Canis lupus familiaris: one gene and its partner. The protein of the gene in region 2 interacts with the protein of the main gene of each other region in a pairwise test. Links are inferred from orthologs where the notes say so. Each region holds a gene or a part of one and is shown on either strand. Other genes may lie near its edges. The genes, in order: CAV1 and KCNA3.

Region 1 (4,595 bases), on a different chromosome or scaffold from region 2:
GACTCATCCTGGGAGGCTTGCTTGCTCCAGGAACCCCACTCACACTGCGGTGGAACAACAGGGAGGCTCCAATGAAGCCAGCCCTTTCTGAAATCTGCCTCTTTTCCTGGCATCTCTTCTTCTTGTCCAAAGCTACATGAGAAGGAGAAAAAGCAAAAATGTCTTTCCCTCTCTTTAAGGTGACGCTTTTAGTAAATCGTTTTTAGCAATTCTAATTTCAAGTTTATAAGCTACTTTTTTTTTTTATTGCTGCTGCTTTTAAATATTTCATAATCTGGCTAGTAGAAAAACCTACTAATGCTCCAATTTTCCTTTTTCCTCTACCAGCAAGCCAAGAGAGTCAATTCTGACAGTTACATTTTCCTTCCCGTTACAGGTTAAATTGTTTCCCTTTTTGAAATAAATTATTCATAAATGTGCATAGTCTCTGAACTATGGCTCTTCCCAGCCCCAGATAGGAGACTGGGTAGGTGGAAATTGCTCATCTGCCCCATTGGCTGTTCTGGAGTTGTGCAGAACTGGGTCTTCACGCTATAATCTTCCAGGCCAGGATTTTCCTTGGCCCTCCCCACTCCTCAAAGAAAACCCTCTGCCAAGAATGGCTCAAGCCCATGATTTCCCAATCCAGATGGATTCGGACAATAAATTTCCCTGACTTAATTTGCTAAGAGGGTCAAAGTTGAATAATATAATGATAATCAAAAATTGATCACTGACTCAAATCTAAGTTTGGCCAATAGCTCATTCAGATGCCTTATTATTTTTTTTTAAAAAAATCACCAAACACATTCTGAAAATATAAAAAGGAACTCCAGCCTGAGTGTCTCATTAACTCGGGGAAGCCTGACCCAGGCAGTCACTAAAGAAGTGACTTTATATACCTAGCTAGGGGTGTCTATGGGAGAAATCCAGAGGCGCTCATTATTTTTGGTTGTGGAAATTAGCTTGGTCGTGCACGAGTACCACTTTTTCCCCCTCCAGTTAAGATGCTCTCTCTCCATATATGTGATATATAATATATCAATCTGAAGCATTTTTACCCACCTTATTATAGTTAAGAAAATAACTTGAGGTTACCCTGATTTGAGCTGGGACAACCTGCCCACTCGGTATCCCATAGATCATCGAGCCACAAAGAACTTACACAGTGACCTTACTTGCTTTAATTCTAGGTGCAATAGGGCGCCCCCCTTCGCTAGAGTTTAAGCCTGGGAACAGGCAAGAGGGTGCCCCGCAGGGCCAAGCGCCTCACTCGCCCAAGGAGCGCGGGCCAACCTGTCGCGGAGATCTGGAGGTGTGTTGGCCGGGGAGAAGTGGGGTTCTAGGAGGAGGGCAGTCAGCGAGATTCCAGCCGAACTAGCCGGCGGGGTGATGGGGGAGGGCAAGGTGGGGGGACTGCGGGGCCCCGCGTCCTCAAGCGCAGGAGGCAGCGCGCGCGGGCCCAGGTAGCGGAGGATGCTCGGAGCGCCCCGGGGCGGGCGGGGCCGCCTCCCCTACCTTGACCACGTCGTCGTTGAGATGCTTGGGGTCGCGGTTGACCAGGTCGATTTCCTTGGTGTGCGCGTCGTACACCTGCTTCTCGCTCATCTCCTCCGCCATGGCCTTGTTGTTGGGCTTGTAGATGTTGCCCTGCTCCCGGATGGGAACGGTGTAGAGGTGCCCCTGCGCGGGGTGGGGGGGGGACGGCGGGGTGCGGGAGGGGGGGGCGGAGATGGGAAGAAAATGTCAAAAAAGGCAATGCCAGAAAAAGGAAATGTCAAAAAGGAAATGTCAAAAAGGAAAACGAGCGGTGCGGCGGCCCTGGAGGTCGCCCGCCAACTGGCCGCTCGGGCGCCGCCGGCGCTTAAGAGGATGGAGGCGAGGACACCACACCCCTCGGTGCCCGCGGGGAGCCCCGGCCTCCGCCGCCCGCCGCCAGGGGTCAGCGCGCACCCGCGCCGCCCCCGCCCGCGCCCGCCCCGCGCGCCCCCCAGCGACCGCGGGGACCCGTCCCCGGCTGCGGGGCGCCCCTCCCCCACCCTGCTCTCCAGAAGCTCTCCGGCGTCTCCCTCGGGCCCGCTGGAGCCCCCGGGACCCCCCGGAGGGGCCCCCTTTCTGCCCCTTTCTGCCGCACCTCCCCGACACCTGCTGGCTCGCCGCACTCTCCGCGCCCCCCGCCCCCGCGGGGCTCAGCGTCCCGAAAGCGCCCGTGTCGGGAGCAGCGCCCCCCGCCCCCCTGCAGACCGCCCCGAACCGCGACCTCGCACCTGCCCGGCGCCCCCGACCTCCCCGACCTCCCGCAGGTCCCTCCTAGGCCGCCGGCGGGGCGCGGGGCGGAGGGCGAGTTTGGGGAGCGAGATCCCCGCGCGGACGAGGGGTGGCACTGGGAGGGGAGGGCGGGCAGGGACAGGAGGGGAGGGGAGGGGAGGGCAGGTCCCCCCTCTGCAAACACCCCGCCGGGCGCCGCGATGCTGGAAGGGTTCTTGAGGCGGCCCGAGGGCTTCGGGCGGTGCCAGCCGGTCCAGGCGCCTGGCGGAGCGGCGGGGACGGTCCCCCGGATCGCGGGGGGATGGCGGCGCACCCCGCGTCCCCGATCGCAGCCCCCCAGCGCGCAGGGGCTGGGCCGTGCGGGTCCCGACCTAAAGCAGCGCCCCGGGCCCGCCCACGACCCAGGAGCGTGCTCTGGTCCCCATCTCGGGACCCCGGGGCGCCCCCCGCCCCCACTTTCAGCCTCCCTCTGGTTTAGGGCCCGCCGGCCCCCCTTTCCGAAGAGCAGCCTGGACGACATTCCTGCCCCCTCTTCAGCTCCCCGCCCAGGCCCATTCCTCGGAGGTGCCCGCGCCGGGGGAGCGCCCGGCGGCCGACCGCGGGGGGTGGGGTGGGGGTGGGGTGGGGGTGGGGGCGCCCCGGGGGCTCCCCGCGCGCACCCCGCGAGCCTACCTCGGAGTCTACGTATTTGCCCCCAGACATGCTGGCCGGTGGCTGGGTGAAGGCTCCGAGGTTTCCCTGGGCTGTTATTCAAGGGAACCGAGGAAGGAAGATCTTGTATTGTGCAGGGGGGGGGGGGGGGGGGGCGGGGAGGCGCAGGCGGGGGGCGGCGGCTGGGAGGGAGCCTGCTGGCCGCGGGCCCGGGGCTTGCCGCGAGCGCCCGGCCGGGACCTGCGCGCCGGGTCCGGGCACATCCCCGGGGTTCGGCGGCGCGGGGCGGGGAGCGCGCGGGGAGCGCCCCGCGGGGGTGGCCTAGACCTGGGGCGCACGTCCCCGGGGGGCTCGCGGCGGCGTCCTGCGGGGGCGCGGGGTTGGCGCGGGGCGTCGCGCTCCTCCCCGCGCTCCTCCCCGCGCATCTGCCCGCGGAGAAGCCGCCTCCCCGCCCCCATCCCCGCCCGCCCAGCTCTCCCCCACTGTCACCGGGAGGAAAGGGACGAAAAAGGGCGCAGGACTTTTGGGCACGATGCGCCCCCGACGGCGAGCAAGCACACGTGCGCGCGCGGTGCAGGTGGCGACGCGCCGGCTCACACCTGGCGGCCCCGGACAGGACACACAGACACGCGGAACTCCAGTTTCCCCGCCGCTTCTGAAAGCCCCCCCTGCCCTGCCCCCCAACCCTCTGAAGCAAACGAGAATGGCAGGCTTCGCCCATCTTTCTGGAACTTTCTGGAAACTTATGCCCACACGTTGTGCCACATTTCCAAAAGACGTAAAAATATTTACAGTTGTAGGAATATTTAGTGGGAGCTTCAAGTTTGTCATAGAGGACTTTTTCTTTGCACTTTTTCTAATTTTTTTTTCTATTTTTTTTTTTTTTCTAATGCACTTGCCCGTGCGTTAGAGGAGACCCGGTTCTTCTAGGAACCGATCTGAAGTTTAACAAATCGTTAGCAGTTATTTGCAAATGTTTTCTCTATTCCTGAATGTGCGGCTGCTATCTTTTTATAAAGCGTACGCCTAAGGTGAATGGAACAATAAGCAGTAGTTTTACATCTGGGCTATGGAGAAGTCAAGAAGTTCACTGTCTTTTGGCCTGTGGCTCCATATGCAATCAGAAGGAGAACTAGAGGGGCGGCCCGGGTGGCTCAGCGGTTTAGCGCCGCCTTCAGCCCAGGGCCTGACCCTGGAGACCCAGGATCAAGCCCTGCATCAGGCTCCCTGCATGGAGCCTGCTTCTCCCTCTGCCTGTGCCTCTGCTTTTCTCTCTCTCTGTGTCTCTCATTAATAAATAAGTAAAATCTTTTTTTAAAAAAATAAAAAGTAATAATTAAAAAAGTAAAATTAGAAAAATGATTTTAAAAATTTAAAAAAAGTAAAATCAGGACTTGAAATAGAAAATCTGACAATCTATCTGAAGGGGCACAGGTTACAGGAAACATTTTGGTGGTCTGTCCATAAAGGCGGAGGCACAAAAGGAGGAGGAGAACGGGTAATAGAGGATGGGACCCTTGGAATTGATTATCTAGTTAGAATATATGGAACTGTAAAAGAACTATAAAGGACAGGCTATTGTTGGTGGTAAAAAGCAATACAACCTTTAAATTCTTTTTTTTAAAATTTATTTATTTATGATAGACATAGAGAGAGAGAGAGAGAGAGAGAGGCAGAGACACAGGCAGAGGGAGAAG
Region 2 (4,404 bases):
TTGTCAGCTGAGGTACAACGGGCGAGGGAGTAGTCCAGACAACATTTCTTCTTTTGTAAATGATTTGAATGAGACAGTAGAAGATGCATTTTAAAGCCTTGGGTTTGGCTCTTGGGTGCCCGTGGAGTTGCTAAAATGTCTAGAAACAAATTGCGTTCAAGATGACCACAACAGTTTGAAGAAACAGTTAAGGTTGAAAGGGCATGAAGTTGTTATCTGTAGGCCCAAATCCAGCAACGGAGATGCGGGCTGCTGGCTGGACGGTCTCCCAGCTTCACAGCCAGAGCGCGGCCAACCCTACCTCTAGGCCGGCAGCAGGCCCTGAAGTCGGGGGTCCTCCCAGGACGGACTTCGCGGGGGAGGTGAATATCCCCTCTCATTTTCCTCATAGGTTCCCACCGACAGGAAACCTGGCGCTTGGGAAAAGACCCGGCTGCTGTCGCCAACCCCAGCCAGAAACTTGGCCCTCGATTGCTCCCGACGGCTAGAGTCCGCGAGAACTGTTCGCTCCAGGAGCGAAGTCCCGAGGGCCTCTACTGACCCAGCGTCCCCAGCCCCCAGGTGCGAGACTCCTGAGCGCCCCTGAGTCCGTGGGCTTCTCGGGGACACGGGAGCCACTCCGCTTAGAGCGCTCCGGGCGGCGGCCTGTAGCCGCGGGGGTCTCAGGGTGCGGGCAGGGGGCTGGCCTCCGCCCCAGGGCGCCCACCTGGCCTTTCCCGCCCTCCCTCCCGGCCCGCAGCGCATCCCCATCCCCTCCTCGCCCGCCCCGACCCGCTGACACCCGCGCCCCGGCCGCGCCCCGGGGGTGCCTGCAGGGCGAGGAGGCCGCCGCTCGCTGGGTGCGGGGCGACGGTGGCGGGGACACAAGCCCGGCGCTGGGCCGTGGCTTCGCGGGTCCCGGGGCGGGGGGCTGGCCAGGGGCTGGTGGGGCCCGGGGGCCGGTTCCCCGGAAGCAGCCTCGGCCGGGCGGGGGTTCGCGGAGGACGCGGCGGTGCGCAGCGGGGCCGTGGGGCCGCCGGAGGGGCGAGGCGGCGGGCGGCTAGGGCCCGGGCAGCGAAGGGGGCGCGGGGGAGCGGGGCGCGCGGCCGCGCGGTGGGCGGGCACCTGGAGGGGCCGCGAGGGGCCGCGGGGCTTAGGCGGGCGCAGCGGCCCCGGGAGGGGAGTGAGGGGAGGGGCAGGGCGCGGAGATGGGGAGGGGAAGGGGAGGGGAGGGAGGGGGGGGGAGGGGGGAGGGAGGGGGGGGAGGGGGGAGGGAGGGGGCGGGAGGAGGGGAGGGGAGGGGGAGGGCATGGAGAGTCGGGAGGGAGGTCGGCGGAGAGGGGCGGCACTGCCGTCCCCTTCGGGAGCCAGGCGCACCTCGCGGGCCCCCCGGAGCCAGGCGGGGCGGCGCGGCGGCAACAGGCGCGGGGCTCGCGGGGCGGGGCGGCGGCGCGCGGGGGGGGCGCGCGAGGAGGAGCCGCCCGGCCCGCGGCGCCGCCGGTCCCGCCGCATGGACGAGCTCCCCGGCCCCGGCCGCCCGCGCGCCCTCCCTGCGCAGCGCCCCGCGAGCGGCGGCCCCGCCGAGCGCGCCATGACGGTGGTGCCCGGCGAGCACCTGCCGGAGCCCGAGGCGGCCGACGGCGCGGGGGGCCCGGCCCCGGGCGGCTGGGAGCGGGAGCGGGAGCGCTACGAGCCGCTGCCGCCCGCGCCGCCGGCCGCCGGGGAGCAGGGCTGCTGCGGGGAGCGCGTGGTCATCAACATCTCGGGGCTGCGCTTCGAGACGCAGCTCAAGACCCTGGGCCAGTTCCCCGAGACGCTGCTGGGCGACCCCGGGCGGCGCGTGCGGTACTTCGACCCGCTCCGCAACGAGTACTTCTTCGACCGCAACCGGCCCAGCTTCGACGCCATCCTCTACTACTACCAGTCGGGCGGCCGCATCCGCCGGCCGGTGAACGTGCCCATCGACGTCTTCTCCGAGGAGATCCGCTTCTACCAGCTGGGCGAGGAGGCCATGGAGAAGTTCCGCGAGGACGAGGGCTTCCTGCGCGAGGAGGAGCGGCCCCTGCCGCGCCGCGCCCTGCAGCGCCAGGTGTGGCTGCTCTTCGAGTACCCCGAGAGCTCCGGGCCGGCGCGCGGCATCGCTATCGTGTCGGTGCTCGTCATCCTCGTGTCCATCGTCATCTTCTGCCTGGAGACGCTGCCTGAGTTCCGCGACGACAAGGACTACGCGGCGGCGGCGCAGGAGCAGCCCGAGGCGGCGCGCAACGGCACGTCGGGCCCCCCCGCCGCCGCCGGCTTCGCGGACCCCTTCTTCGTGGTGGAGACCCTGTGCATCATCTGGTTCTCCTTCGAGCTGCTCGTGCGCTTCTTCGCCTGCCCCAGCAAAGCCACCTTCTCGCGGAACATCATGAACCTGATAGACATCGTGGCCATCATCCCCTACTTCATCACCCTGGGCACCGAACTGGCCGAGCGACAGGGCAACGGACAGCAGGCCATGTCCCTGGCCATCCTGCGGGTCATCCGGCTGGTGCGGGTCTTCCGCATCTTCAAGCTCTCCCGGCACTCCAAGGGGCTGCAGATCCTGGGCCAGACACTCAAGGCGTCCATGCGGGAGCTGGGGCTGCTCATCTTCTTCCTCTTCATTGGGGTCATCCTCTTCTCCAGCGCCGTCTACTTTGCCGAGGCAGACGACCCCACCTCGGGGTTTAGCAGCATCCCGGATGCCTTCTGGTGGGCAGTGGTGACCATGACGACAGTAGGTTACGGCGACATGCACCCGGTGACCATAGGGGGCAAGATCGTGGGGTCGCTCTGCGCCATCGCTGGTGTCCTGACCATCGCTCTGCCGGTGCCCGTGATCGTTTCCAACTTCAATTACTTCTACCACCGGGAGACGGAGGGGGAAGAGCAAGCCCAGTACATGCACGTGGGAAGTTGCCAGCACCTCTCCTCTTCGGCCGAGGAGCTCCGAAAAGCAAGGAGTAACTCGACTCTGAGTAAGTCGGACTACATGGTGATCGAAGAGGGGGGCATGAACCATAGCGCTTTCCCCCAGACTCCCTTCAAAACGGGCAATTCCACTGCCACCTGCACCACGAACAATAATCCCAACTCCTGTGTCAACATCAAAAAGATATTTACTGACGTTTAATATATGCTACGAGTGACATGCTGTGCTCAAGTACTGCGTGGACCGTGCCCCCTTGGTCTGTGTATGCCCTCGTTTTATACATTTCCAGACCACTCATCAAAGAAAGGACATGAAGAAGTGGAAAGCACACTTCATTTTCCCTCGCCCTACTGCTTCATACTGAAACAGGTGTCTGTGTTGCAAGTGGGCTGCATTCTCTCAGCTCTCCATTTTTTCCTCCCCCTCCCTCGAATATTGCAAAGAACAAACTTACTTTAAACTTGATTTCTAGTACACATCCTCTAAAAAAAAAAAAAAAAAACTGTACATCCTGGGAGGAAACGAAACTAAAGAACAGTTAGAGTAACTGCCTAACCTCGGAATTGAAAGACAGTTGTTCTTTACTAAGTAAAGCAGGCACATGCATAAAGGATGCTTCCGTTTGCTGGACCTTTGAACATTATTGAATCTTTAGTTCAGTTGCCTATGCTGTGGATACTTGGATGAGAAGTCTGATTAGGGCAATGACTTGTAAACCCACCGTAAGGGTATTTGGTTTTTGACTGGAAGTTCTATTCGAACCCCTTCCTGGAATCTTAAAGATTTCTACAACTGTGAACAAAGGGAAGTGCCCAAGGTGTCCCGATCTAATTAGTTGAACTCTCTGGGGCTTGTTCAGCATTTCAAAAGAGATGGACAGGCAGATTCCTGTGATGTTCCGTGTGTGTGTGTGTGTGTGTGTGTGTGTGTGTTCCCGGCAACATCTATCAAAGTGTGGAAACACATGTTTTCAGTGCCGCTGAGAGAAACAAAATTTCTAATGCGCCTGCGAGATAAGCTTCTGCAGTATCACAAGAAGATTAAAGTGGCAGACACTCCTTCCAGCGGAAGTTACTAATTCGGACCTGACTGATGCAGTTCCCATAGCAACCCATGTTTCCTGGGAAACCCGAAAAAGGTTGTCATGGCATCTCTTGCTTTCTAGCCCCACCCCCTAGCCCCTGCCGTTTCCACAATAACCTTTCCAGATGGTTCCTCCTTACGGGATTTCATAAGGAAAACCACTATTTGGATAAACCGCACAAATAAAGTTATGCCTGAAAATCTGAGGTGGTGAAATGAATCACAAAATGCATATTTTTTTTACTACAGAAAATCATTGACATCATCTCATAATGACTGAATCGGAAAGGAAAATATTGCCTTTGGGATGTTAGATCTATACTACAATAAGGCATGATTTGAATTAAATGCCAATAATTAGGCAATAATTTAAAAGGATACTGTTTTCT

Evidence for each region.
Region 1: the proteins of KCNA3 (region 2) and CAV1 come close enough for resonance energy transfer, tested with the Homo sapiens proteins (2 studies listed by BioGRID). The link is inferred for Canis lupus familiaris from reciprocal best matches to the Homo sapiens genes KCNA3 and CAV1.

Annotation. Positions count from the first base shown.
Region 1 is NC_049235.1:55,588,882-55,593,476, reverse strand, and holds the start of CAV1 (caveolin-1), read right to left. Parts: upstream 2,950-4,595; coding exon 2,920-2,949; intron 1,663-2,919; coding exon 1,498-1,662; intron 1-1,497. UniProt on the Homo sapiens protein: May act as a scaffolding protein within caveolar membranes. Forms a stable heterooligomeric complex with CAV2 that targets to lipid rafts and drives caveolae formation. Mediates the recruitment of CAVIN proteins (CAVIN1/2/3/4) to the caveolae.
Region 2 is NC_049227.1:41,799,825-41,804,228, forward strand, and holds the start of KCNA3 (potassium voltage-gated channel subfamily A member 3), read left to right. Parts: upstream 1-1,570; coding exon 1,571-3,133; 3' UTR 3,134-4,404.